Regions from separate parts of the Mus musculus genome. Here regions 1, 2, 3 and 4 are each reported to be linked to region 5. Evidence: microRNA targets listed by miRTarBase, many of them from high-throughput screens and not tested one by one. Region 5 holds a microRNA gene; each other region holds the end of a gene's coding sequence.

Region 1 (4,000 bases), not on the chromosome of region 5:
AAGATCTTAGCAGATGTGTTCTTTTCCCTACCCTAGATTATCAGACTCTAGAAAAAGAACTCGCACAGGAAGATCATGGCCTGCTGCAATACCACATTTGCGGAGAAGAAGAGGTCGCCTTCCACGAAGAGCACTCCAGACTCAGAACTCAGAAGTTGTGAAAGATGATGAAGGCAAAGAAGATTATCAGTTTGAAGAACTTAACACAGAAATTCTGAATAACTTAGCAGATCAGGAGTTGCAGCTCAATCACCTGAAAAACTCCATCACTAGTTATTTTGGTGCCGCAGGTAGAATAGCATGTGGCGAAAAATACAGAGTTTTGGCTCGTCGGGTGACGCTTGATGGGAAGGTGCAGTATCTTGTGGAATGGGAAGGAGCGACTGCATCCTGACTGTAGGACTGAACGTAATGTTCACTGCACTCGTTTTCTGTTGGTACAGTTAAAAAAAAAAAAAACAAAAAACAGAGTGTGGGTTTTATTATCTTTCTTAGAAAAACAAACAAAGAGAAAACACAAAAATATTCACAAAAGGAGATGATACTGGCCTTAAAACATGTTCTTGTCAATGTTATGGATATTGTCATAAAAAAAGATATCTTTTAAAAATCAGAGGAGAGACTTAATTTTTTTAAATCTTAAGATTTGTAGACTGTTTCTAGGATAGGCTATTAAACATGATTCATACCCATGCATGGTGTTAGATACTTTTTATAATTATTCCATTGAGTCAATTTTTGTGATTAGTGGTTATCAGAGCAAACAGATCATGTAGATAGCACAAGTATTTGGAGAAACATTGTGTGTTTTGTTAACAAAATGTTGGAAAGATTTATTTCAATACCCTTTAGATTTCATAAAGTGCAGTGTATATAATGTCTACTGAAAGACTGTAAAATATTGAAATTTCTTTCAAGCAAAATGTAAAAAAATATATTGAGCCTGTAAATTGCTCTGTGACTAGACTTCATTGTCGTCTTAATATATTCTTTGCATGTACATGTATATACACACATGTGTATATATATGTGTGTGATTATGTGACCTATGCAATACAAATTATGGGAATGGGCAGCTTTGGAGTATATATCCCATAATTCTTATTTCAGGAATAGTTGCAGTATTTACACAGCAGCATTTCTTCTCAGGCGTTTATTGGGTGCTGTTGCTTGCTATGTATGAAGAGAAATGTGTCAAGTTTAGTGTGTACTGAAGAAGGGTGTGAACAACAGTGTACATGGGCTTTTAGAGGGCTTTTCAGTCCTTGTAACTCAGCTGTTGAATACCTAAAACAAATTCGAGTGATAACTACATTATTTCCTATTAGAAGTGACGTTTTCAAGTGATTGTGGCACATTATGATTGTAAATGTCTCAGTTTTAACAGCAAGTCTGTGGGAGCCCAGTGAAGACTCCTGAAATGTCTGTAGTAACTGTTAGTCATGTTTGAGTAAGCGTAGTATGAACAAAGTCTTTTATTGCACAGGGTTAACAAACAGTATGTTGCTAGCTGAGGCTAACTGCTGTTTTATTACAACATTACCTCTTGTTTTTATAAAATGTACCAAGATTTTAAATTGATATCTTTATTTTACGTGTTAAAAAAAAGTTTCTTTTATCACCAGTGTTAGAGTTGTCTTCTGTTTTTTTGGTTTGTTTTGGTTTGGTTTTTTTCTTGTTGTTTTCTTTCTTAGCCAAAGAGTAAACAGAAGAATATTATTTTGGTAGCTCTTCATTTTACTTTTATAATGATTGGTGGATTTTAGACTAAAAATTGGGGAAATTTCTGCCAAAATGAAAAAATATGTGACGTGTATTGATGACAGAATGCTAAAATTGTGGTTAGTGCTTATTTATTCCATTAATTGATTATTTGCCTGTTTTTAAAGAAACATGCTTTATTTCCTTAAGCATCTTCAAAAGATGACTTTTCTTGTCACATTGTAGCCAAAAGAAGCAGAGAATTTCTTGTCCTGCTTTTGGTTCCTGGTTAACCAGGTATAATGAGCTTTACAAAGTGCAAATTACAAACTGTCACTTCTGTTCACCTCCACCAAAACTTGATTTCCCCTAGCTATTAATTTAAAGTTGCCTTTCCTGCAGCTGCAATATTTTGAATAACACAGAGATTGTGTTAATTTTTGAATGTTTGTTTATATCTAGGGGTAATGGAAAATGTAATTCCCGTGTAACCTTATTCACTCCAGCTGTATCATATTTCATTTTTCCCAAAGTTCTTTAATTTTAACTGAACACCAGCAGTATTTTTAGTAATTCTTTAAGATACTTGGAAGACAATTTATCAAGCTGAACTGTCTCTAGACTTAATTATTGTGAATGTCTGTTTTCTTTTATCATGGTGGTTCACATGGCTCTGATGTTCAGTTTGTATTTTTGAAATTGCTTTACTTAGAATTAAAACAGACCAACATTAAATGTGTGTATTTTTAAAAGAGCTAATGAGTTTTTCTTCTGTATCTGCTTGAAAATACACACTGGTGCAGCAGTTAACTGCTTTTATTTAGCTAGGGAGGAGGAATTTTCCAATTCTTTTATATACTTGAATTAGTCTTGAAGAACTTTGCTTCCATTTCCTTTTGTCATAATGATAATAGTGTATGTTCACTGTGAGTGATCTTTTAAAAAAGGATTACATGCTTTGTATTTGAAAGACAGTGTTTATGTCCTTTCCTCTTCCAAAGACTGTAGAAAAATCAGGCTTCACAGTTGTTTCTTCTTCCTAGGTATTGGGGCACATGTAAACAGACTTCCCGTTTTTGCTATTTTTTTTTTTTGACTCTAATCTACAGAATAGAAAAGTTGTAAAATAATATACCTTCCTTCCTTTTTCATTTTAAGCATTTAAGAGAAAAAGAGAGCACAGAAGCTGTGAATCTTGGCAGCTGCTGGAATAGGTAAGCGTAGGTGAAAAGGACAAAGTCCTGTTGTGTTAGGTTCTGGCACGTTCAGCAAGCAGCTACACGGCAGGAGCGGAAATTTTTAGGAAAAGCGTCGTGGAAGTATTCCCAGGTTTTGTAAAAAGGTAGAAGGTAGAAGGAAAGGAAAAGGCTCAGAGAGACTTGGCAGCAGCTCCAAAAGAGACCATAGGAGACCTTATGTAATCGCTCATTTGTAACCACCCTGTTCTTTAGGATAAACCAGTTAAGTGAGTGTGTGTGCCTTACCAGAATAATTGTAAATCCTCAGTGTTTGACTTCATGCGCGCACGTGTGCGGGCTGTGTGTGTGTGTGTGTGTGTGAGAGAGAGAGAGAGAGAGAGACGTGCACCCACATTGTGATAAGAGTCAGGTCTTTCTGGAACGATAGCTATTGGAAATCCGGGCACGTTTGAGAGCTGAGACTGTCCCATCTTTATTTTTTGTTGAGTATTTGTTTTCTCTCATGGATATAGTTAGATTTCTGTTTATCAGTGTTGGGATGAAGTTCTATTTTTGGCTGATTTGTACTCCTGTTAGGTACTATTAAATTTTAGTTATTAAATTTTGAAAGAGGGTGTTTTAAGGCTAACAGATACCCATGTAATAATTAAAGATAGATTTCCCCCCACCCCCAAGGCCCTCTGTATGGAGAAATTTTCTTTTCTGAATTAAGAGTACAAAACTCCAGAAGTCCCATTCAGTTTCTCTTAAGGCATTTGATATGTCATAGTTTTTGATCATGGAAATGAAAACATGACATTTAAATGTAAAGTAAAAGCTTTGTCTGATCATGGGTATTTTTCTAATTGGTGTTAGTTAGGATTCATAGATAATTCTGATACATTCTGACATGTGAGAAACTTGCAGCATCTCTAAGCAAATAGATGGTATATATACAAATGTTTGTAAGTTATAATACCAGAGTAATAGCTACATGAAATATTAATTTACTTTATTTTTTAAATTAGAATAAAGTCAGTGTGTGGATGTATGCTAGTATTTCTTACCACTTGAGAGGCTGAGATAGGAAGATCAAGAGTTGGAGGCTAGCCTGGGCTATA
Region 2 (6,032 bases), not on the chromosome of region 5:
CTCCATACTTGAAAAGTCTTGTTCTTACTTCTGACCTTGTTCCTCATCTAAGTGCTTTGATCCTGAGGACGTGGACCTCTTTTTACCCCAGGGTAGCAGGCACCCACTCATTCATGTTCAGTATAAAGTCAGCGGATTTGTAGAACGTGAGGATTTGTATCCAGGAAGTCCACCAGTGCTTCAGTGTTGAAGACAGAGTCATGTGGCCTGTTGTGCCACCATGCTCACTGTCTGCAGTGCTAGGTTTAGATCCAAGGCCTTATGCACACTTTGCAAACTTTACTGGCTATATCCCAGCCCTCCTCCAGCACTCTAAAACTGGAGAGCCAGCGTATGCATGTTTGCTGTTTCCTCTGTACCCTCAAAGCCTGCGTTTCTGTGGATAACTGGTGTTCAGGCTACAGGGTACATAATCACTCAGAGGAGCAGAGGTATAGCATCTCTTCAGGAAGTTCTCCTCGACACCCATGGAGCCTTCCACGCTGAAGAAATCATCTGGAGCTGTAGAGATGGCCAACGGGGCCCTTGGTCTGAGTCCCTGCACCAACAGGATGCCTCACAACTGTCTTTAATTACACTTACAGAGGATCCAGCGCCCTCTGCTGGCTTTTAGATTTTCAGCCAGCAGGCATGCACTGTAGTGGAGACATACTTAAAACTTAAATCTAGCTGGGCGTGGTGGCGCACGCCTTTAGTCCCAGCACTCAGGAGGCAGAGGCAGGCGGATTTCTGAGTTCGAGGCCAGCCTGGTCTACAGAGTGAGTTCCAAGACAGCCAGGGCTACACAGGGAAACACTGTCTCGAAAAACAAACAGAAAAAAAAACCTTAAATCTAAAAACTTGTGGAGTTTATTTCTGTTTTACTTTTGGGAGAGAAAAAACCTGGAAGCCATTATTGAAAGTAACTGATAATCACCAGGAGACAAACCATCTCCCCATATTATTCACTTGGGGAGAAACGGGGAAGAGCTCAAGATGCCAACCACCTTAGCTCAGCATAAATGGAGCTCCTGGCTGTGGTGCCCCAGGTCACAGCATCACCTGTGGCATGGTCTCACCCAGTATGCCTAATTTCACTCTTACCAACAATTGAGGTGGTAAATGTAAAGACTAGAGAGAAATGGGAGAGAGTGCACACAGCATAAGGAGAGGGGAAGGAAGCCTCCATGGTGGTGTGCCACACCTGCAGTGTCCACAAATGAAAACCAAGGTGGATGGAGAAGGAGAGCTGGGGGGTAGGAGGGGGTGTTTGTTTATTATTCTGGGTTTCAAACCCAGAACCTCAGTAATGTTTTTAAAATGTGCCATAGGCATTCAATGCGTACATGGAGGGAAGGGGTTACATGCAGAAGCAGACACCTTAAAGGATGCTTTGTGTGGATGTGAAAGGTGCTTGGAACTTGCACAGTGGTGGCACTGATGTCATGTGTTTTCCTCTTTTCTGGTGTGACAGCTGTCGACCTACTGGAGAAGATGCTCGTTTTGGACTCAGATAAGAGGATCACAGCAGCCCAAGCTCTTGCGCATGCCTACTTTGCTCAGTACCACGACCCTGATGATGAGCCTGTTGCTGACCCTTATGACCAGTCCTTTGAAAGCAGGGACCTTCTCATAGATGAGTGGAAGAGTGAGTCCAGGGCAGGCTAGCGTGGGCTTTGAGCTTGCTTTCATTTTATTCATGTTTTGTTTGTTTTCTGAGCCAGGGTTTTTCTCTGTGTAGCCACTCAGAGGAACTCACTTTGTAGATCAGGCTAGCCTTAAACTCAGAGATCCATCTGTCTGTGCCTTCCGAGTGCTGAGATTAAAAGCATGTGCTACCAAGTCCCGTTTATGTAATATTTTTTAACAGTGCTGGAGATTGGACCTAGGACTCACACATATTTCCAACATACCTATGATCCCAGCACTTGGGAATCAGATTAAAAGTTTAAGGTTAAAAAAAAAAACAGACTGAAGCCGGGCATTGGTGACGCACGCCTTTAATTCCAGCACTGGGGAGGCAGAGGCAGGTAGATTTATGAGTTCGAGACCAGCCTGGTCTACAGAGTGAGTTCCAGGATAGCCAGGGCTACATAGAGAAACCCTGTCTCAAAACAAACAAACAAACAAAAAAAAACCAGGCTGTAAAGTTATTCACAGCTGTGTAGGTAGTTTGAGGCTATCCTGGGCTACATGAGAACCTGTCTGAATAAAACCCTCGTGGATGGTTGCCAGCAGCTTTCTGAGCTCACTGCCAGGGTCTCTGATGCGTATGTTCCCTGATGGGCTGCAGACACAGAGTGCAGAGCCTTCAAACTGACAGAGCTTTGAGGTGCTTGGCGGTTTTACGTTTACAGCATCTTTTCAGGATAAAGAGGGTCTGGCGTATTTCAGCACAGAACTAGGACAGGAGTTTTTTATAGCTTACTTTTGGCCTAGTTAGGGACTGCCAGGAATGGAGCCACATCTCCACCCCCAGTCATACTCCTTCATAAAGCACAAGGTCAGTTCTGCAGTTAGGACTGCCTCGTTGTGTGCAGAGTGCAGTGCTGCTCCAGGGAGCACTCAGAAGGAGCACCGTGCATGATGGAGTGGGGAGACAGTTCTGTCTGTGTCCTTGAACTGGAGCTGCTCTGCTGCAGGGCAGGGCAGGAGCAAGGCAGGTGATGTAGTTCATCAGACCACTGCCAGGAGGGAAGGGCTGAGTGTCTGCCTGCCGGAGTTGTACGCCTCACCCTTCCTTCCTTCTTTCCTTGCCCTAGGCCTGACCTATGATGAAGTCATCAGCTTTGTGCCACCACCCCTTGACCAAGAAGAAATGGAGTCCTGAGCACCTGGTTTCTGTTCTGTCTATCTCACTTCACTGTGAGGGGAAGACCTTCTCATGGGAACTCTCCAAATACCATTCAAGTGCCTCTTGTTGAAAGATTCCTTCATGGTGGAAGGGGGTGCATGTATGTGTTAGTGTTTGTGTGTGTGTGTGTGTCTGTCTGTTCGTCTGTCCACCTATCTTTGTGGAAGTCACTGTGATGGTAGTGACTTTATGAGTTGTGAATGGTCCTTGGCAGTCTGCCTGCTTTCTCAGAGTCTGGGCAGGCCGATGGGAACTGTCATCTCCTTAGGGATGTGTGTGTTCAGTGCAAAGTAAGAAATATGAAAATATCCCTGTTCTTAGTTACCTTGCCACTTTGGCTTCTCCTGTGGCCCTGCCTTTACCATATCAGTGACAGAGAGAGGCTGCTTCAGGTCTGAGGCTATCCCTCAGCCATGCATAAAGTCCAAGAGAACCAACTGGCTCCTGGTCTCTAGCCTGTGACCGGCTTGCTTAATGTCCTCAGAACCTGACAGGTATGTTCAAAACTGTCAGTCTGTTTGTGCCTTAAAAGGGTGAGAAGGGCGCGTAGATAGTTACAGAGTCTCAGCTGCTGACGTTCTGAGCCAGGCAAGTGCACGGGGCTGTTGGATGGCCAGTGGGGAGCTGGAAAAAACAAGGCAGCCTTTAGGAAGGCCATGGTGCATGTGTGTGCATGCGTGTATGTGCAGCCGCCCTCCCTCACTTCAGGAGCAAGCTGTTTGCTGTGCTTACCCTTCACCTCAGTGCAGAGGTCTCCAGTGCCGAGCACAGGCACCTGCCATCAGTAGTTCCTGTGTCATCTTCACATCTAGCAGAGCACGGATGTGTTTGCATGCTGTGCTCTTGGAGCTTGTCCTGTCTTCTGGAAGCCCTGGACAAGGCGTGTGAAGGCTTCCCAGAAGTTCCTGTCCACATTGCCTCCGCCCACCGACGCCATGGGCACACTGCTCCCTCCTCCTCCTCCAGCTACTTTGTGTTGAACACAATTGATTCTCCAGGTGCTCATGGTGCAGGAAAACAGGACAGACAGAGAGCACCTGAACCCTTGCCATCTGATGTCACCAATTCAGGAAAACGAGTCCTCTCCTAGGACTATCCCCGGTTCTGGAAATCATGTTCTCCTCACTCATGGTGACAAGCTAAGAAAGCTGAACAAAGGGAGAGACGAGAGCGCCTGAAGCCAGGAGCTCCTTTACTATCTTTCTCAAAAGGGTTGTTAGACACAAACCAAGTCATCAAGGCCCCGCTCCTCTCCTCGGAAGGGTCCCCCACCCCCCGGCAGCTTGACACTGAATCCAGTGTCAATTTGGGGAGAAAGCAGTTTTGTCTTGGAATTTTGTATGTTGTAGGAATCCTTAGAGAGTGTGGTTCCTTCTGATGGGGAGAAAGGGCAAATTATTTTAATATTTTGTATTTTCACCTTTATAAACATGAATCCTCAGGGGTGAAGAACTGTTTGCATAATTTTCTGAATTTTGAGCACTTTGTGCTATATAAGGACCCATATTTAAGCTTTGTGTGCAGTAAGAAAGTGTAAAGCCAATTCCAGTGTTGGACGTGACAGGTCTTGTGTTTAGGTCAAGGTGTCTCCTCTCAGTGCAGGGACATGCCTGCTCTGTGGGGCAGGCGAGGACCCTGAATCATTTGGAGCCCAGAAGGAGGCAGACTGGCCAGGTCTCACCACCTCAGTGTGCAGTTCAACTCCATGCCATCCCATCAAGATGGGTTAGTAGCAGTGTCTGTTTTTGAATGCCAAGTGTGATTTCCAACAATTCTGCTCTGGTTATTTCATTGAAGACATCTTTGCACATGTGACCATGCTGTGTTAGGGGCTGTGTTCCAGGGACTGGACTCGAAGCTAGAACTGGCAGAAGAGTTCTGGCATCCACAGCGCAATGCTGCCACCACCCAGTTTCTTCATCAGAAGACAAGGGAACGAGAAAACTGCTGTTCGTTTGTATTTGTGAACTTGGCTGTAATCTGGTATGCCATAGGATGTCAGATAATACCACTGGTTAAAATAAAGCCTAGTTTTCAAATTCAGTTGGTTTCTCAGGTTTATTCTGTTCCTCTTCTTGGTTGTGGGACTTTTGTTGTCAGCTGTGACCTAGCACATGTCTGACAGACCCTTTCTAAAGCTGCTTAGGTGGACCTGAGGGGAAGGCAGGTCTTTGCAGTGAGTGAGTTACTGTGCAGAGAGAACCGCATGGGGAGAGTGGCCTAGTGTGCGTCCACACGCACTGTTCTTGTACAGTCTGAAATGAATGTTTTTCACATCTTCAAGTAATTGGTTTGATCAGAGAATATCCACAGAGTTTGTTACGTATCTTCTGTGGCTACTTTCCTGATACCATGACAATTGAAATCCGAGGGGCGAAGACTGCAGGGCTATCCAGGTAGCTGCTTAATGTTTAGCAAAAGTTGCTTTCTGACTAAATACTCTAAAACTTTATACACCATGTATTTTTATCTTTAAGTTGCCAAAGAGAAGGCTAGGTTGTGTGCCTGTGAGTGCAGGATGGGAGGACATCTGTTTGACTCTGCTGTCTTCATGACCCTAAAATTGTTCTTCAGAACTAGTGAGCTGTATCATGCATGAGAAGGCTGCAGGGCCTCACAGCAGGTTCTCAGGCTTTGATGACACGGTCTCCCAGCTAACCTGAGGACACTCACAGAGCTGAGCTTTTTGTCCTGAAGAGACACAAGTGTAGACGCCATTCTTTTCCTGAGCCCCCACAAAGGTGACAGAAAAGGTTTTCAGCTGTCGTGGAGGTGTAGGTAGCTCTAGAGTACAGGAGGGAAGAGGAAAGGGTAGGGCCCTTGTTAGCTACTGTTACCCCAGAATGGTCAACCAAAGTGTGTTCTTCATTTCCAGCTATGATCCCGGGAACAAAGTGATCCTGGGTTTCCATTTTCAAATGGAACATTTAGTGTCCTTCAGTATCCTTATTTGAATTTTGCAACATCACAGAGAACTTTTGTAGAAGCCAAAGGATAGGCTTGGGAGATGGTTGGGTCAACAAAGGGGCTTGCCTTGAAAGCCAGAAACACATGGTTCAATCCCCAAACCCTTGAACAGATACTTAGGTACGGCAACATGCAATCCTAAAGGTGGGGGTATAGCAACAGATAGACTCTCAGGCTCAATGGCTAGCCGGCATAGTCTACTTCAGGACACAGCCTCCTCAGAAGGTGGGGC
Region 3 (5,963 bases), not on the chromosome of region 5:
TGTCTTTAGACACACCAGAAGAGCGCATCCAATCTCATTACTGATGGTTGTGAGCCACCACGTGGTTGCTGGGATCTAAACTCAGGACCTTCAGAAAAGCAGTCAGTGCTCTTAATCGCAGAGCCATCTCTCCAGCCCCTTCTTTTGCTTTTTTATAACATCATAATTGCCTCATGGTTGGCTAGGAGATTTGGGGAGGTCACAGCACAGGACCTCCGCTCAGTTGAAGAGCGAGTCACCCATTGGGTATGTCCTGAGTCCTGGCTCTCTGCTTTCTAGCATTCTGCCCAGACCCTTCTAGCTCGGAGCACATGTGTTCAGCGGCAGGAAGCTTGAGCACCAGTGACTATGGCATTGGCTGGCAGAGTGTGGTGCAAAATGGCTCTGAGACATGGGCCTACTCTGCACCGGACCTGCTGGGGTGAGTAGAACAAGAGCCTAAGGCCCCACCTGGGTGACGTTCTCCAGAGAATCTTCTGGCCCCCTTGGGGGCATGCCTATCAGATACTCTCAGGACTAGGGAGTTTCCAACCCTGCCCTGTCTCCACAGCGCCTGGTACTGGGGCTACTGTGCAGTGTATGACAGTGGGGGCTACATACAGGAGTTAGGACTGAGTCTGGAGGAGAGCCGTGCACGACTGGGCTTCCTGCAGCTGCACAACTGGCTTGACAGCAGGTGGGTGCTGAGTTGGGAAATGGGTAGGAAAGTAGCCACTCCCTTGGCAGGCTCTGAGCCTCACTTGTAGCCTGCTGCCCCCATGCCTAGCCCTGAATCCCCTGTGCCCCTCCCTCCCTCCCTCCGGTGTCTCCCGTGTCCTGTATCCTATGCTCCTGTGCACACGGCCCCTCATGCTGACAGCACCCTCCATGCAGGAGCCGTGCAGTGTTTGTAGAACTCACCCGCTACAGCCCTGCTGTGGGGCTCCATGCTGCTGTTACACTGCGCCTCGAGTTCCCTGTAGCCGGCCATGCACTGGCTGCCTTCAGTGTCCGCCCATTTGCGTTACGGCGACTCAGCACTGGCCTGTCTCTACCACTGCTCACCTCGGTATGCCTTTCTACTTGACATCTTTCCTCGGGATCCTGATCATGCCCACAGGAATCTGAACACTTGACAACACCCGTCACGTATCTCCTTTCAACCTCCTCCCCCCACCCCCAGGTGTGCTTGCTGCTGTTTGCCCTATACTTTTCCATGGCCGAGGTGCAGACCTGGCGCAAAGATGGGTGTGCGTGCACAGCAAGGCCTGACACCTGGGCACGGTGCCTACTGGTGATACTGACAGCAGCTACAGGGCTTGTACGCCTGGCCCAGCTGGGCATTGCTGATCGCCAGTGGACCCATTTTGTGCAGGACCATCCACGCCACTTCACTAGCTTCGACCAAGTGGCTCAGCTGGGCTCTGTGGCCCGTGGCCTGGCAGCTTCACTACTCTTCCTGCTTTTGGTCAAGGTGAGGTCAAAGGTGGGGTCTGGTGGTGACTAGGATCAGACTGCCATGGCTGGGGAGAAAGCTGACTGCCTCCTATCCACAGGCTGCCCAGCAGCTGCGGTTTGTGCGCCAGTGGTCTGTTTTTGGCAAGACATTGTGTCGGGCCTTGCCCGAGCTCATGGGAGCCACCTTGGGCCTGGTGCTGCTTGGTGTGGCCTATGCACAGATGGCCATCCTGGTAGGTCGCTGTTTGTGGTATCCCAGGGAAGGGCCTCCCCCAGGCTATGCCTTCACCTGCATCTCTTTTTCCATAGCTTATTTCCTCTGGTGCTGACACTCTCTACAACATGGCCCGTGCCTTCCTGGTGCTGTGCCCTGGGGCGAGGGTCCCCACTCTGTGCCCTTCAGAGTCCTGGTACCTGTCCCCTCTGCTGTGTGTGGGGCTCTGGGCTCTGCGAGTGTGGGGTGCCCTGAGGTTAGGGGCTATCCTCCTGCGTTGGCGGTACCACGCCTTGCGTGGCGAGCTCTACCGCCCAGCATGGGAACCCCAGGACTATGAGATGGTGGAGCTTTTCCTGCGTAGGCTTCGGCTCTGGATGGGCTTCAGCAAGGTCAAGGAGGTGGGTACGGCCCAGTGGGGGGGAGAGGGACACACCCTGGGTCTCGCGAGCCCAGGGTGCAGCCGGACTGACCGAGCCCCTGTGCCGCCCCCAGTTCCGCCACAAAGTCCGCTTTGAAGGAATGGATCCACTGCCTTCCCGCTCATCCAGGGGCTCCAAGTCATCCCCAGTTGTGCTCCCACCTAGCTCAGGCTCAGAAGCTTCACACCCATCCACCTCGTCCAGCCAACCAGACGGGCCGAGCGCCAGCTTAAGCCGCTCGACGCTGAAGCTGGAACCAGAGCCCTCTCGCCTCCATGCTGTGTTTGAAAGTCTGCTTGTCCAGTTTGACCGACTCAACCAGGCCACAGAGGACGTCTACCAGCTGGAGCAACAACTCCAGAGCCTTCAAGGCCATGGGCACAATGGACCTCCTTCCTCTCCCTCCCCTGGCTGCTTCCCAGGCTCTCAGCCAGCTTTGCCCAGCCGCCTTTCTCGGGCCAGTCAGGGGCTGGATCAGACTGTAGGCCCCAACAGGGTGTCCCTGTGGCCTAATAACAAGGTCCACCCCAGCAGCACTTAGGCCCTAGGGGTCTTGGCCATTCCCTTCCCTGGGAATGCCTGAGCTTCACACTGGCCTCTCAGAGCCAGGGTGGACACCACTCAGTATTACCTTCTGCTGCCCTCTAGGTTGGGCCAGGCAGAACGGCTGCATGCCAGTTCTTTTGGGTACAGGTATTGCTGCCTTCCTTACCTGTCCACATATGGGGCTTCTGCACTTTAAAAAGGCTGTGTGGCCAGCCAGGACCCAGGGTCCCCTCCCCACAGGAGGACACAGCAGTATTGGACCAAGTGAGTACCCAGCCTCCAAGATGCTAATTTATTCGCCCCCCCTCCCCCCAAGTCCTCAGGTTCAGCGGGCTGCGCCCAGCTCTACCCCTAGGTGGCCATCTCCTCTTGCTAAAAATCTAAGCTGGAGGGAGGGCTAAGCTACACTTCTCCTTTATCCGTCCCCTAAGTTATTACCTCTCTTGTTTCTGCAGCATACTTGCCCTCTAGCTACCATCTGCTTTCTATGTCCACCATCAATAATTTATATGGGGTTAAAATGTATATATTTTTGTATGTCAGTATTTTCTACTTGGGCTGAAAATGGGTCCATTGTTACCCAGGGCAGGGGTACAGGGGAAGCTGCAGCTATTACTGGATCCGAGTCTGGCCTCGGGCAGGTGCTGGACAGCAATTGGGGCCACCGTGGCCTTGTTTTCCTCCCTTGTCTGGGGCCAGGCAGCACGCAGATCTGCTGGTTTCAGATCTGAGCAAGGGCAGGACTACTGTGGGATGAAAGATGCCAAGAAGTTACTGGACAAGCCCACCAATGGGGCTTGCCCCCATGGCGGGTGGGGGAAAGAGAATGTATGTGATGGCACCTGCCTGCTTCTGTGGGCTCATCTGCAGCTCTAGCCTGGATTCTGCCCCAACCCCAAACAGACAAGACAAAGTCAAATAAAGAAGCTGTCTGACTGCTGTCTGTGCTGCTCTCTGAACTCCACGGGCCAGATGTGCGTGTGCAGTTTATTTCATGTAGGAGTACAGTCAGGATAGCTACATGGCTGGCCACAGGACTCTAGTCATGGATCTGCTGGCCTCACACAAACTCTGTGAAGTCATCCACGGAGGAAATGAGGCGCTTCCGCTGGCCTGTTTCATAGGTGGGTGTAGCCTCAGGGGCTTGAGCTGGGGCTTTGGTGTGGGCTGGAGGGTGCATCAGAGGCAAGCTTGGGTTGGAATAGTGCACCTCTTCACGGATCTAGAGAGAGAGAAAGCTCTGGCAGTGAGTCCGGAAGTTCTGTTCAACCAGACTCAGACATCGCATCTCTGAAGCCTGTCCTCCCTACCCTCTGGCGGAGACGCTTAATGTGGCGGAGTCTTGCGATCCACTTGGAGGGATAGATGTCAGTGGGGTTGGATCGGCTGTGGTGTACCTGTGAGGCCATCTGGAGGTGACAGAGCAGGATGGTGACAGTGAGCTCCATCACAACAGGGAGCGCCCACACGACTATCTCCCCAGGCTGCCGCCACCACTCACATTTGCATGCAGGGCCATCTGTCGGGCCACAAAGGACAGGTTGCGGTCAGACACAATCTTGGCCACACTGGTGTCCACGAGGCCTTCCATGTCTGTGGAGACACAATGCTCATACCCAGCTCAGGCCAAAACTGCCACCCTACCCAGCCTGGGCCTCACCTTTCCTGCACTGCAGGGTCAATAGGTTGCACTTGTAGTCCAGCGGTGTGATGATCACATGGACAAAGTTGAACTGGCCCTGCCCAAAGGAGAGGAAAGTCACCCGGCATGAGCATGTGCTGAAGGCCACGCTGCTTCCCCACTTGCCTTTGACATCTCTGGCTAAACATGCAGGTTTATGTGTTTAGCATAAAACATACACCCTGCCTTGCAGGCTTCCGACTGTGCCTAAGGACAGAGCTGAGGGTGTTCTCCCAGGACGATACTGCCCATGGGCCCTTACACTAGCTTCCCAGAGCCCTGCCTCATCTCCTCTCAGTTGTGATACGTGCAGACCCAAGTGTGCTACAATGTGTCCAACAAGGACCCTTAAAAGCCACTGTAAGCAGACAGTACACTCCTGTTGAGCACTGTACACCCACCAGGACATATTCACCTAGTTAGTCTTGAGGGCCACAGCTCATCCTATATATGAAGGAAGGTTTTGTGATCATGTCTCCTGTGTCTCTGATAGCCTGTCCCAGTGCATGGGGCTCCCAAAAGTGTACCCTCCCAAGACACTCAAGGCCACTTCAAAATACATCAGCAGGCATTTTTGTAGACCGCCTGGGCTGCTGCTGAGTCTGGTGATGGCAGTGGCAGAGCACAGCCATTGCCTAGGCAATCGCACATGGAAATCTCACTCACCTTAATGGTGCCCAGTTTGAAGTCCTCACCAGAATCATTGTAGATGATAGAAACAAAGTCATTGCCCAGGTGCCGTTTCTTGTCACAGCGGTGCTTGTCCACATCCTTGGTGGGCATCAGGGTGGCAATGTGGAAAACAGCTGTAGAGTGGGTGACACTGGACTGGGTGCCAGGACAGGACACCAAATGCTGGACTTTAGGGCCCAGGCTCAGACCTCTGTATCCCTCCAGATTTCCTGATTTTTTTCCAGAGGCAGGGCTTGGAAGCAGGCCTACCTAGAGGAGTACACACCTTGCATGATGTCATCATGCCAGCAGTAGGTGAACTGTCCATCCTCGCCACATACATCCAGTCCACCTAAGTACACCTTGTCTGGTTGGCAGTCCTTGAGCTCAATAAGCCGACCCAGGCCTGTCAGAAACTCCGTGTACCTGTAAGAGCCATGCTCATTTGACAGGATGGCCAGCTCACTGCTGCTCTGTGGGGAAATCCAGGGAATGAGAATAGTTAACAGTTCAGAGTCACCTGGCAGGCTCGGCACGGATGGAAAGCCATCCCCCACTCAATACTGTCATGCTTACAGCTGTCCAGTCTATAGACCTGGGTGCCACCTGGCCTCCCTCCCTTCTCTACCCGTAATACATTCAGCTAGCAAAATCAACATACCCAGAACCTTAGCACTGCTTCATATCCTTGCAACCAAACCCAATCCTATTCCTCTCGCTAGGATAGTGATCACCTAACTCCATCAAGGCACTACACAGCAGAGGGATACTTTTCAAAATGCCGGCATTAATAACGGTGGCTCAAAGTAGTCCAGGGTCCCTACCTCATAAGAAAAGTATGGCTCATGTTTATATATTGGGCTGTGAGATTGTCCATGATGACCCTCTGTCCTGCCACTTAGCTACACTCATTCAGTGGCCCATCCTGGGACCTCAGAACTCTGCTATTGCATGTATGCACCCTGCAGTTCTCACAGCTCTGCATATCAAC
Region 4 (6,330 bases), not on the chromosome of region 5:
GTCTATGTGTAAATTCCCACATCTAGAATTATTTGGGAGAAAGTGACTGAATTCTCATAACTTCTTGACCTTTCCTTAAAAATTCCTTGTTTCCTCTGTAGACAACTAGGCTGACTGCAGGTAACATACTGCTGCAGTCTGTCCTTAAAGGACCCAGCCTAAGGTTTAGCCAGTGTAACCTTCTGGTCTTGCTCCTCATCTGGAGGAAGGTGTGGGCCTTTCACACTGGTGTTTTACTTGTAGAGGTTTTGAAGATGACAATTATTACAGAGATCACCTCCTACTTTTAGACTGCTGGTAATTTCTGGCTTGCTGTTGAAGGTTTTACTGATTTATTTATTGATTGTTTCTCTTTCACTTCTGAGATAATCAGAATCTCCAAGCACTCTTAAGTACACTGTTAGTGGGAGTAACACTACTTGACTTTTGGGGATGCTCCATGAATCTTGAAGTTTTAGGGAAAAATCACACGTAATCATGATTCATTTTTCCTGTTGATAAAGTGTTCAAAGTAATGTCCTAATATTCAGTTGAAGGTCTTTCCATCTATTTTCTTGAGGAATTTAAGTCTGTAGCTCTTGTATTGAAATGCCCTTGTTGATCTGAGCTTCACAGGCAATTGGAGAAGGAGATGATTTGTGTAGAATTGGTACAACTTTTTCAAATGTATGAAACAAAAAAATCACCAGTAGCAACACCTGCTGTGAATCCTCTTTTGTAGGACGCTTTTGGCAATCAATTTAGTTTTGATTGCACTTAGGTTATTTCTGCATGAGCTTTGGTAATTATGGCCTTCCAAGCAATGTGGCACTTTTCCCCAAGCTGTCAGAAACATGGACATGCAGTTATTCCTTCTGTATCTTACTCTGTAGGGTCTGTAGATGGCTTTTCTTTGTTTCTGTCAAGATTGGCAATTTGTCTCTTCTATCTACCTCGGACTGTATGGCTAGAAATCTACCTTTTCAGAGGTTGACTTGGTTTACATGGCTTTTTTATGTCACGGTTTTCTCTTTTCCTTATTATCGGCTCTCTCCTGTTTTGTGTTTTACTTGTACAGTTTGAGGTGGAGGCTTGTATGAGTCCTTTGTTCTCTCCTGTTGTCAGCATTTAACACTGTGCCTTCTCTTGTACATATCACTTAACTTTATACTACAATTTTTGACATAAGATGCCATCATTGTGAGTCATATTTTTCATCAGGAACAACTTGATATGGCTTTGTAATAATTTAGATGATTTAAAAATGTATTTATTACTGATCTATGGGTGTTTTAAAACAATTTTATGATTAGTTTATGTGTGTGCATGAATGGCATGCAAATGCTGGTCTGAGGACAATATTAGAGTTGGTCTTCTCCTTCCACTGTGGGTTCTGGGATTCTGGAGTGCTAGGGATGGAACTCAGGTCGTCAGGCATTCTGGGTGTTTTTTTTTTAACCACTGAGTAGTTAGGCTGGTTTCCATCTCAAAAGTGAGAATTCTGTTATGCCCTATGTTTTTTCCCTGTAAATGACCCAGGAGTTATTGAGGTAAATAAATGTGTGTTCTGGGTGAATTTGTCTTTACTGGGCAGAGGTGTGTCTGTAGGTCTGAAGTTCTGTCAGAGGTAGAATTAATACATGGTTGCTTTAATATAGCTTCCCGGTGATCTCAGGTGGAATCCAGGATTAGATTTCTCTGTGAGTTTAACCCCTTTCCCTCCCTTAGGCTATCTTTCAAGTTTGCACTGGAAACTGAGAACAATCCCAAGTCTCCACCTTCCTCTGCCAGGATGCATGCTGCTCTCAGGGGTATTTTCTATTCCTCTTGCCTAGGGCTAGGCCAGGAGAATCCACCTCAACATGACATGTGATGCAGGCTGGACAGAGACATGTCCTTGGAGTCAGACAGGTCTGTGTGCAGAGCCCCATTCTACGTCTTCTTCATGTGGCTATGGCCATATGGCTTTCCCAGGTAGTTTTAAGGCTCTCTGAAACATAATCTTGATAAAAGCAGCAAGGCAGATGCATCTCAGGACACCAATGCCACTCTTTCCTGGTGTGAGGGGGCACTGGAAAGACCTGCTCCCTGATAATGTGGTTAGTTTCATTAGCCTTCTAGGCTCACGGATGAGGCACCATCTTCTCCAAGATTTACTTTCATGAGTAGTGGACATCCCCTAAGAATGGTACTTTAGCATCTCATAACCTTTACAGTACATTTTTTTTTTGGTATAGCTGGTGTTAGGGACAGGAAATTAGGCAGTCTGCTGACAGTGGACACAGGGGAAGTAAGGGCTGTGGTGTGGGAAGATGGGGAGCACACAAGATTGTAAGAATGTGGGGTCCTGGCATAGGATGTGTGTCCTAACTCTGTCAGAACCAGGTCTATCAAGTATTTTCGAGGTAGTCCCTCCCTGAGCTTTCAATGCCTGTACCCCGTACCATAAACTTGAGCACCCGAAAGACACCTAGAAATAAGCTCTCCACACATCACAACAACAGAGCAGCTTCCAAGGCAGTCATTTATTACATCTCCTATGGTAAGTGCCTATAAGACTCAAACAAGACCACCGGCACATTATGGGAATCATTTACCTTATGAACTTTCAGATTAGAGGCAAAACAGTGAGCACAGCTAAGCTCTGCAAATGTGCAGTTTCTGTGTTCATTCAATGAATGTCTGTTGAGAGGCAGTTCATGGGCAGGGGGCACATGAGGCATGACCATGACATGGGGAGGAACATCAGTGACAGTCCTTGAGCTGAATGAGAAGGGTTCAAAGAGTGGCAGAGTACAAGCAAAAAGCATCTTAAGCTTGCACAGCCCTGATGTTCCCTGAGGGGAAGGCTCTTGCTCTGTGGGTTTTGGAAGAAGGGACAACCTGTGCAGAGGGCTTCCTCAGGGAATTTCCCCCACAGGAAAAGGCATTCTTTGTGCTAAGTGTCTCAAATACTTTGTGTCAACAAACTCAGCTCAAGATGAATGAAGCTCTAGGATGTAATGCCCACTTCATAGACAATTTTCCAAAGGAAATTTGATGATCCAAAGAACGACAGCAGGTCAGGTTTGTTGATGCGTTTATTGTGAGCTGGGGAGTCTGGTAAAAAACTAGAAAATGACCATGGTGTAACAAGGAACTTAAAAGGAAGAGTCAGATTGGTAGCTTACATACATGGATACAGGAACAAATTGGCACATGTTAAACATTGTTCCCAACACTGTTTACAGAAGGCAATTCTAATTTGGCTTGCTAAGGGAATGAGTTATGGCTGGGCCAACTCTTAACAGAAGACTGCAGAGCGGCATGCTATGAGTCGCACACAGTGAGTGTCAAAGTGTAAGAGTTTCCTATTAAAAACTGGGGAAAGGGAGAATGACTTGATTGTAGTTGTAAAACTAATACCTTCCCATTTAAAGGCTGGTCTACAGTCGGAGGCAAGTATAAATGTTAACAGAACACTGTTAAATCAAATCTCAACGCACGGGAACCAACTGCATCTCTACTGTAAATCTTAGCAACTTTCCAAAATTTCATACTAAAATATATTATTGTATTAATACAAACTACAGTATTATACACTACACTGTGTAATAAATAAAGAAATATAAAAATAAGACACATAAATATAAAAGTTTTCTAAAACTAAAAGTACGTGTCAGTAAGAAGGGTATTAATACTGCCAGGCTTAAAGACATACAGTACAAAAATGTTGCACAGATCTATAAACTAAAAGAAATAAAATAATACTGGTAGGTAAAAATCAGCTGCTGTTGTTCATCACCTGGGTCCGTAATAACTAACATTTGGAAAACGGCTGTGAACCAAAAACCAATAGCGTATCCATGCCTGACACGCAAGTACATGGATTAAGTAGTTTGGAGAATTTCCCTTTTATTTCTGTAGAGACTTCTGAGAGTCAATCAACATGAAATGACTACTGAGGAACAAAAGTGTGAGATGCCCCAGTGCTTCAGCTTCTCTCACAGTCAGTGGTTTTGAGTTTTGTTTGGGAATTTTGACACAACAAACGAATCAACAACTGCTAGTTAATATAGGCCACACTGCGGGAAGGCTGTCAGAGCCTTGCAATACTGAGAATGGCACTTAGAGCACAGGTCTTGCTTAAGGCCAAAGGGACACAGCGCTTGCTTCCTATAGATCCTTCATGGTTGCTAACGTACGCAAACAATCACGAACACTGATTCTGCCGCCTCTGCCGGCCTTGCCACATCAACACTGGTCGTCCCTGGAGTCAGGACTCAACGACAACCTTTGAACTCCATTTAAAAATCACACGAGTAAGAAACTCCAGCTCTTCTCTGGCTGCTTCCTTAAGGCTAGCAATACATGTTAGATGGCAACACGGCATCTAACGTCAGAGGTCCTATCTCCTGACTGACTGGGTAGCAGCAGGTAGCCAGCACGGTTTGAACTGCTTTCTACTGCTCTGTGAAGGGAATTCTGTAGTGCAGAAGTTCTCACATTTTAAAAAACATAATAAAATACTGAAGCGGATTTAGCATATGTTTACCAATAAAAAAATTATAAAATTTCTCCCATTGTAGAGCTTAAGAATGAGCCAACGTAAGAGTGATAATACTGCTAGCCATGCCGGACGCCCATCCAGCCTCCTGTAACCTGCTGAGAAACCTTTGTTTTCTGAGTCATTAATGTTTTCTAAGCTGCTTCATGTTATAAATTTGTTCCTAACTTTGAAAACTGCATGAAAAATTACTAGGTTTGAGGTTCAGGCACACCCGGAATTTTTTTTTTTTCAGTTCTGACATTACACAGTAGTGAGCAGGAACCATAGCACAGGAGCCATGGAGCCATGTTTCCATGAAAAGCGTGGGTAATATAGAGCAAATTTCATTACCAAGTAGAATTTCCTTTTAGAAGAACTCCTAAGCTTCATTTGTCTTCTCTTCAGACAGCTGCTCACTCTCGCTTTCGCTCTCCATCTCGCTCTCGCTGGCCTTCTGCTCTAAGCTGCCTGCCTGCTGTGCAGCTCCAACCTCCACTGTACCATCAGTCTTGGCTGCTGCCTCATGCTCGGCTTCATCCGCTTCCACTTCCTCCTCTTCCTCCTCTTCTTCCTCCTCTTCCTCCTCCTCCTCCTCCTCCTCCTCCCCCTGTGGGTTCTCACATTCCTTTCCTTCCTGTAATTCTTCCATCTCTTTATCTTCCTCCTCCTCCTCCTTTTCACTGTCTTCATCTTCTTCCCTTGTCAGACTTTCTCTCTCGTCCGAGTCAGCCTGTGAGGGAGACGCCCGGGCACCAACATGCTCAGTCGCCAGGACTTCCGGCAGGACTTCGGGCCCAGCGTCTTCCTGCTCCATAGCATCTCTGTCTTCAGCTCCTCTCTTGCAGTAGGAGTAGCGGTGATTCATGTGTTGAGAGTAGGAGCCGGAGTGTGAGAAGCGCTTGCCACACTTGTCACATTGATAGGGCTTTTCCCCAGAGTGCAGCCGCATGTGCTCAATCAAATGATGCTTGTGTTTAAATGCCTTTCTACAGATTCCACACTCGTGAGGCCTCTTACCTGCAAGGTAAGAACGCAGCTATGAAACAGAACACTGGCAGAAATAAACAGAGTGCTTGGGAGAATGAAGGGACATTCAGATTGTGCAAGGGGAGGGTCACAGTTCCATGGTCAAGAAACTGGCAGGTTCCCAATTGTACGATAATACTATGGTTCATTTTTTTCTATGTGAAAATTCAAGGTTATACACTGCTTTGCAGATGAGGCCAGTGCTAATTATAAAAGGTGGAAATGCCAAAAATTCATACATCAGGACCACATGGCAGAACATTTATAAGTGAGGCTCCCATGAGCCAGGGTGACAATCTCAGGAAGAGGGGCTTCCACGGCATTTTGATGTCTCACAGCTCTTTCTACTTATGGGCAAATTTTCACAAATGTAGAGCTGATGTGGAAATTCTTTATAACATCTAAAATAGCTTTTGCCCCACAAGGCTGCAATCTTGCCCCTCATGAGTGGGTGTGGCCTGAGCAACAGTGGATACACAGAGGACAGCTGGCATAATCAGGACTGGCTATTACCAACTACAGTGCTATGAGCCAGTCAACACTTAAAAATCCAGAAATTACTTTTGAAAATTTTTTTACAGCTAGGATGTCATTTTAATTTTGATATTACCAGTATTTAACTCTTTTTAAAGAATTAGGAGATTTCCTAATTATCTCAGTGAATATAAGTAGAGGGCTGTGGTCCCAAGCTTTTATTAGAGAGGTACAGCTTTCAACCTCAGCAGCCACCCAAGTGTCCCGCTTCTCTGCGTGTCTTCTCACCAGGGGAATGAGTTACCATTGTTGGTGAGAGGCTG
Region 5 (6,330 bases):
CACCATTTCTCAGCTGTGCCCAGAGTCCTATGGCGATAGGAGTGCCCCATAGGTTGTCATTCTCTACTTGTGAGATCTGCCCTTCTTATGCTGTGCTGGGAGTCGGGGTCTCTGTGGTCAGTCCAGTGCTGGATCAAGAGACCTCTCTGCTCTAGACTAATAGTACAGTGGGACTGCAGGTGGGCTGGGGCACATAGCACTTCTACTAAACCCTGGGCTGAGTTATTGGGGCTGAAAGCCTCCAGGCTGGACAGGTAGCTCACCCAACCCTGGAGAGGCTTTGGACCAGCAGCCAGCTGTCTCTGATCCTGGCTATGACATTTTCAATGCACACTCCAGGAGCTGGGGATTGTAGCTCAGGGGTGGAGTGATTGCTTTCACATTCATAACACCCTGGGCTTGGTTCCTGCACAAGACACCCAATTCTCACTCCAAGGCTGACTCTTGGCTGAGACAGGAGCCCCCATTTTCCTGATTCACCTGTCCTTGGTAGGTTCTAGAGTACATATTGCATACCAGAGCTGGTTTGTGTAATGACTGGCTGGGTACAATGAGCCCCATGTCTCTCTTCTATCTGGCGGGAGCACCGATCACTGGAGTCCCCGTGTCCTCGGCTTGATCCTTTGCAAGGCTGCTTGTTAATGTTTTGTACGGTGAAAATGAGATGATCAACATAAAATTTCAGAAATCACACAATTTATTGCCTTACAAAGATTTTTTTTGCCTGCATTTTATTTACAATGCTTGAAGAGATGACAAAAAGGGGACCACCTATTATAGAGCGCACGATGGGCGGACAAGTCCCTCAGCCACATAGAACTTGGAGCCCAGCAGGTTTCTGTGGAAGATGAAGTCCAGTGTCCCTATAATGGTTCTTTAGAGGAATGGCCTGTCCAGGGCTAAGAAATCTGTTAGGGCATGTTGGGTTCCTTCAAGAGGGCAGTGGATGAGGTAGGGTTTGGCTCTGCTGGACTCAGGCTGTATTGGCCAACTTGAGGTTTGCAGAAGTCTAGGTACTGAAGCCAGCAGCTTGCAGATGAGGTCTAAGAGGTTCACTTCTAGTTCTTATCACAGCAACACTCAAACTCCCCATATAGCAAATGATGTAAGCATTGGGAGTCATTCTAGAGCAACCGTTTTAGCAACAGCCTTTTGAAAATTCTCAGGGACATGGGGTGGGGGTGGGATCTTTAAGATCGGGCCATTCAGCATCCAGAGTTAGACTGAAAGATGACTCTCAGATCCTAAGAGCCAGAGGTGGGATGCATAGGAAGAGCTCATAAGCAGGCTGACAACGGCAGAGCTGTGCAGCCTTGTGCATATTCCTGGGTATGAGTCACTATCACCTGGTCTGGCACCTTGGCAGTGCCCCTGTCCCTGAAACCCATATACTTATTTTCCACTCCGGGTTTGGGCACAGTGGTTAGACTTGCTTTTACTCTCCTTGGTTCCATGACCTGAGAATTTTGGAGAGGAGACAAAGGACCAAGGTTTTAGATCTCCTCTTGTCTCCTACCAGTGTTGATAGCACAGGGGCTACAGAATCTGCAGGTGACAGCTGACGACAGATCGAAGTCTCTGTGTGGAGCCCAGTGGGCTATGGAGGGCAAGAGGACTGTGACCGCCCCACTGACTATTCCTGAAAAGGATGGATACGGAGGCCTCAGTCTGCTGTGGCTGTAACCGAAAGCTACTACAGGGTCAGAGGAAGGCAGTCAGGCTCAGCGGGGCCTGTATATTTAAACTGTGGTCTGTTTGCATAGAGGGCTTGATGAACCCAGCTCTGGACAGTTGTAACAGATGGATTAAGGTCTTGTCTCTACCCAGTGTCCACGAGGTGGTGAGGATGTCGTCTCCAGCGGTGATAAGGCCGTGGATGGACGGCATTACCAGACAGTATTAGACAGATGCATCCAGATCTAACCATGTCTGGTAAGACATCCATCAGCAGGGCAGTACAAGGGCCTCCCCATCTGGGCAGTTGGATTTGATACCTGTAGAGGGAAGGCCAGGGTTGGCTTCCTGCCTGCTCTGGTCCAAGGGCCATTCTTGGGGTTCACCCTTCTAGGACCTGGGACTACTCTAAGGACTTTCTTACCAGGGCCCAGCTTGGTTGCCTGTTCCTCAAGTGTGGAAGTCTGTGGGTGCAACAGGAGAGTCATCTGCTCACTCTTACTTGGCAAATGCTCGTCATAGCACCTCTTTGGTTTTCTGAATGGCTGTCAGCTTAATGAGTAACATTAAAGCCAGGAACAGACTCCTTCCCCCGGAAGAGTCATCTAGGCTGATACTGGGTGGGGCTCCCTGACCCTGTACTCTGGCTCCAAGTAAAGAAAGATAAGAAGTAATCCTGGATTCTGGTTTGGGGCAAAGTTCCTATTCTGGAAAGCCATTGGGAAGGAATAGAGATTCCTTGTTCTTAATTAGGAAACAGCTGATGACGTCACAATTCTGTGTACCAGGCTCAGGTCCCCGAACCCACCCTTGCCCATTGGTCCCATAGGCACTGACAGTCCTTATGCTAACACTGCTATCCATGTCTCCTTACCTAGCTCAGCATCCTCACTAACCCTCACAGTCTCTCTAGGAATCAATGAACCCCCAAATCCAGCAGAGGAGTTGGCAAAGGTGGGCATCGCTGCTCTGAGAATGAGTGACAATCCACTTCTACTCCAGTACCCCTGGCATGGTGAAACCATCCCTTGTCCCAGCATGAAGTAATAGACAAGGGTCAAAGTCCAGCCCCCACTGACTGCTGATCTGTAGAGCTGAGACAGGCCCTCTGCACCCAGCACCCAGCCTCGGCCTAACTGGAGTCCAGGAGGACAAGTGTGTATCATCAGCCTGTCTTCGGCGAATGGTGGGTCACCTTTGAACATCGTTACCAGACAGTGTTAGAGTCAAGCCAAGAAATCCAGCACTGTCCGGTAAGATGCCCACAGAGGCCCAGGTATGCTCTGGCAGGAAGACACAGGTGGTTTCCACCCTCAGGGAGGCCCAGTGGAAACCTGATGCCATGAACAGCCAGAGACCGTATATGCATCGCAATAAGCCAGCAGAGATGTTGACCCTAACTCATACGGTCTGCTTTGTCCAAAGCAAGGGGACAGTGACACATTGGCTCAGTGTGCATGTTGGAGGTGCTGTTGGTCAATAGGTCGGTGCTCACTTGATGCAGGAAGGTAAGGTATCCCAGGCTTGAGTAGCCCCACTAGGGGGTCAATCAGTACACAGCTCCTAGATGTAGGTGAGGCAGTTTTTGGCATGAGGCCCTCTGAGCCTAGGCGGAGACTTAGCCCTTTAGAGCCTTTGCTGCACTTCCACCCAGCGTACACCTGCCAGGTGTGGTGGCAGCACCTGCCTGGGTATTGTATGCAGAACCCAGGCACTTGACTGTCCTAATTCCCAGGGCATTGGGAGGGGGCGCCCCCAGGGCAATGGGAGGAGCCTCTCACCCCAGGATATAGAGTGGCCCTCAGAGGTGCCTGGTTTGGGGGAACTCTCCCTAAAGCCTCCCACCACCCATATCGCCAAGGCTAACTCTTTGCCCCATAGCCCTACCTTGGATAAGGTAGGTGAGGTGTGGAACTGGGGCCCCTGGAGGCTGGGATCAGGAGGCGGCTCCATTGCTGCATGCAGGGCTCCGCCGTCATCATTACCAGGCAGTATTAGAGATCAGACACTATCCAATGCTGCCCAGTAAGATGGCCACGGCTGCCCAAGTTGGATATGGAGGCCGCCTAGCAGGGAGTTGAAGATGACTAGATTCCATGGGCAGGGCCCAGATGCCTAAGTGTCCTAATCCCCAGAGCATTGCAGAAGGAGGGCACCCCTTCAGGACAACAGCAGAAAGCCCTGCATTCTCATCTCCAAAGATAGGTAGTGGAGAGGTCAACAGCTTGAAGTAAGATCAAGTTCTCTTTTGGAAATTAGATGGAAAATAATTAGGATGGGGGTCTTATAGGCCCTGAAGCCTCTTTCTTGCCTCTCTATAAGGCCCAGAGGAAGGACTTAGCACCCATGGCCATAGACAAGTTCCCCTGCCCAGCCAAACCTGACCTGCAGTGGACTAGCTTGGGGCCCAGGTGAGGACTTTGAAGGGTCAAATAGTCCTTCCCAGAGGCTGACAGCCCGAAAGAGCTGGGAGGCAGGCTATGTAGACTTCCATGTGACCAATGGCCAGGTCAGGATCAGGTCATAGACAGGCCCTCCATCTGAGTATATTCACTACAGAATAGCCTAGACAACAGGTCCAGTCCCATTAGGGTACACAGTGTACTTAAGGTTGATGAGGTTCACTCAGTGGGCCTCTGTCTCCAGGATACTGTTCAAGTCTACTTTCCTGCCCAGCCCCTCTTGCCTTTTTCAGGGCCCAAGAAGGATACTGGGATGAGGGACCAGGGATCCAACACTTCAAGCGTATGGGAAAAGCAGCCCCCAGTATGAATACAATAATCACATACCCATAGAAAGATCTTTTTGTTGCTAAGGACATAGCCTGTAGTCTCCCATACAGAGCCAAGAAACTAAGCACCTGTCCCAAGGATACTTGGGACTGAAAGAGACTCAATCTGTGCCTCTCCTCATCCCAAGTCCGTCTTTACAGAAGTATTTCTTCTCGTTTTTCTGGTCTTTTCTATCACAGACACAATACAGGTGGCTCAAGCCCTGTACTGATTTCCTCGGATCACAACGAAGGCGTGTGTCACTGCCTCCAGGCAGCCGCTAGTTCTCCAGCCTCTCTCCTGAAAGCCAACATTTCTGAGGACCTGACCTGAGCACAGGCTGAGCAGATGGGAATGGACACTCTATAGGAGCCTAAGGTTTTAGAAACTGTCCTAACTCTTCGTCTATCGCCTACAAGGTTCCCAGTGCTCTCAAACACCCGTCAGATATACTTCCCCTTTCCCGAACTTTTTTAGTTCTATCCTATCAGATTCATAAAACCGGTGCTTCAAAAGGACTTTCTCTCTCTCTCTCTCTCTCTCTCTCTCTCTCTCTCTCTCTGAGCTTTGGCAAACTAAGGATTCTATTTGAGAACTAAGTGGACTAAGCAGAATTTCAGTTATCCTTGTGGCTTCAGAGCCACAAAGAGTGTGGGAGCTGGGTGAGGGTAAGCACCAAGGATGTTGCCTTTCCCCCTTCTGGTTGTGCCAAAGAAACAGGGAAGACGAAATGGTATCTAATGATGAGCCTGATCCCTGCATCCTTGACTACTCAGGGTGAGCACTTCTTAGGGAACATGGGAGGCTAGGGGACTCTGCCAAGTGCATAGCTGGCCCGGGCATAAGCCAAAAGGTCAGATATATGGGGGCAGGTGCTCAGACAGCAGTGTGTGTGTGTGTGTGTGTGTACAACCTTCAAAATGCAGATTCTGTAGGTCCTCCAGCAAAATTTAAAGGCTGAACAGATTCTAAAAGTCATGAGTTGGGACTGGGTGTCTTGGTGTCCAAGCACTGTTGAGTATGGGGGACCCTGCTTTATCCAGCATAGGGGGAAGGGAGAGACAAAAACATGACAGAATTACAGCCATAGGTCAAGAAATGAAAAGCAAAAACAGGGGTTCTATTTGGAGCCTGTGTGGTGCCCATCTGGTCAGTTGTATCTGAAAGTGAGGTTCAGGTCATGGTCCCCACAGCTAATTATCAGCATCTACTAGGCTTAGTTTAGGAAAATTAAGGAATGGATCCAGAAGCCAAGTGCCCCCAAGGCTCCTCTGCAGCAAGCACCCTCCCCCTTTCCAGAGTGCCTTGATCCTCGCCTGCGAGGCCAGGGAAGGTTGGGAATTTGTGGCAGAGGAACGCGTTCCCAGTGTGGGAAGTTGCTGGTTAACTTGCTCAAGGGGCCTTAATCAATGCTGAGGCCAGAGAACAAAGCTCTGAAAGTCAACCTCTCCTAACTTCGATGCCAGCGGCTGTGGGAGGGGGAGGGTGGGGGCAGGAAAGACTTGTCTTGTCTACACTCAGGCTACCTCTTAGTGGCTGTTGGAACTGCGTGTCTTCAAGGCAAAGCCGCCATTTCATCCACACAGCCGTCAGCATTGTCCCTTAGCCCTTCGGTTGTATAGCTCACCCTCCAGGTCCACTGCACCCCTGAGTGCCAGCCTCCTGCGACCGGGGAACTTCCTTAGGCCATTTTACACACTAAGAACATCCTGGCAAATTGATTTTGCAAATAAAGTATTTGCAAATTACCAAGATGCCTGAAAATTAACAATGGACTATATCCATATTTTATGGCTCATTTGCATTTTCATAAATGCAAAACATTTTGCTTGATTCAACAATCTACCGATTGCTCCAACATTTTTATCTAGGTTACCAGAAAAAC

Evidence for each region. The annotated mature microRNA mmu-miR-200b-3p reads UAAUACUGCCUGGUAAUGAUGA and lies in region 5 at 3,650-3,671, opposite strand. An mRNA with a match to its seed (bases 2 to 7 or 8) in the 3' UTR can be bound and repressed. Matches are read on the target gene's strand: a 7mer-m8 pairs with bases 2 to 8, a 7mer-A1 pairs with bases 2 to 7 and ends in A, and an 8mer does both.
Region 1: the mRNA of Mtf2 is a reported target of mmu-miR-200b-3p. Seed matches in the 3' UTR shown: 7mer-m8 at 1,120-1,126 and 7mer-m8 at 2,260-2,266.
Region 2: miRTarBase lists Mapk14 as a target of mmu-miR-200b-3p. The part of its 3' UTR that is shown has no 7-base or 8-base seed match.
Region 3: the mRNA of Pkd1 is a reported target of mmu-miR-200b-3p. Seed matches in the 3' UTR shown: 8mer at 2,696-2,703, 7mer-m8 at 2,870-2,876 and 7mer-m8 at 3,160-3,166.
Region 4: the mRNA of Zeb1 is a reported target of mmu-miR-200b-3p. Seed matches in the 3' UTR shown: 8mer at 4,577-4,584, 7mer-m8 at 4,484-4,490, 7mer-m8 at 4,070-4,076, 8mer at 3,724-3,731 and 8mer at 3,654-3,661.

What each region holds. Positions count from the first base shown.
Region 1 is chr5:108,106,552-108,110,551 of GRCm38, forward strand. Mtf2 (metal response element binding transcription factor 2) reads left to right here. Exons shown (of 15, transcript NM_013827.3): 15 at 37-2,668. The coding sequence ends at 394. Among named protein-coding and RNA genes, the nearest start is that of Tmed5, 24 kb to the right of the region's middle.
Region 2 is chr17:28,743,530-28,749,561 of GRCm38, forward strand. Mapk14 (mitogen-activated protein kinase 14) reads left to right here. Exons shown (of 12, transcript NM_011951.3): 11 at 1,454-1,627; 12 at 2,742-4,876. The coding sequence ends at 2,809. Among named protein-coding and RNA genes, the nearest start is that of Mapk13, 23 kb to the right of the region's middle.
Region 3 is chr17:24,592,926-24,598,888 of GRCm38, forward strand. Pkd1 (polycystin 1, transient receptor poteintial channel interacting) reads left to right here. Exons shown (of 46, transcript NM_013630.2): 40 at 280-421; 41 at 551-676; 42 at 874-1,048; 43 at 1,163-1,453; 44 at 1,536-1,670; 45 at 1,747-2,052; 46 at 2,147-3,589. The coding sequence ends at 2,614. Tsc2 (TSC complex subunit 2) reads right to left here. Exons shown (of 42, transcript NM_001286713.1): 37 at 5,259-5,445; 38 at 4,967-5,106; 39 at 4,280-4,358; 40 at 4,121-4,212; 41 at 3,930-4,028; 42 at 2,891-3,841. The coding sequence ends at 3,680. Among named protein-coding and RNA genes, the nearest start is that of Tsc2, 37 kb to the right of the region's middle.
Region 4 is chr18:5,771,623-5,777,952 of GRCm38, reverse strand. Zeb1 (zinc finger E-box binding homeobox 1) reads right to left here. Exons shown (of 8, transcript NM_011546.3): 8 at 2,485-5,524. The coding sequence ends at 4,887. Among named protein-coding and RNA genes, the nearest start is that of Gm34740, 120 kb to the left of the region's middle.
Region 5 is chr4:156,052,036-156,058,365 of GRCm38, forward strand. Mir200b (microRNA 200b) reads right to left here and starts at 3,715; the gene lies at 3,646-3,715. Gm13648 (predicted gene 13648) reads right to left here. Exons shown (of 2, transcript NR_132444.1): 2 at 680-1,994. Mir429 (microRNA 429) reads right to left here and starts at 1,952; the gene lies at 1,870-1,952. It overlaps Mir200a (microRNA 200a), which reads right to left and starts at 2,950; the gene lies at 2,861-2,950.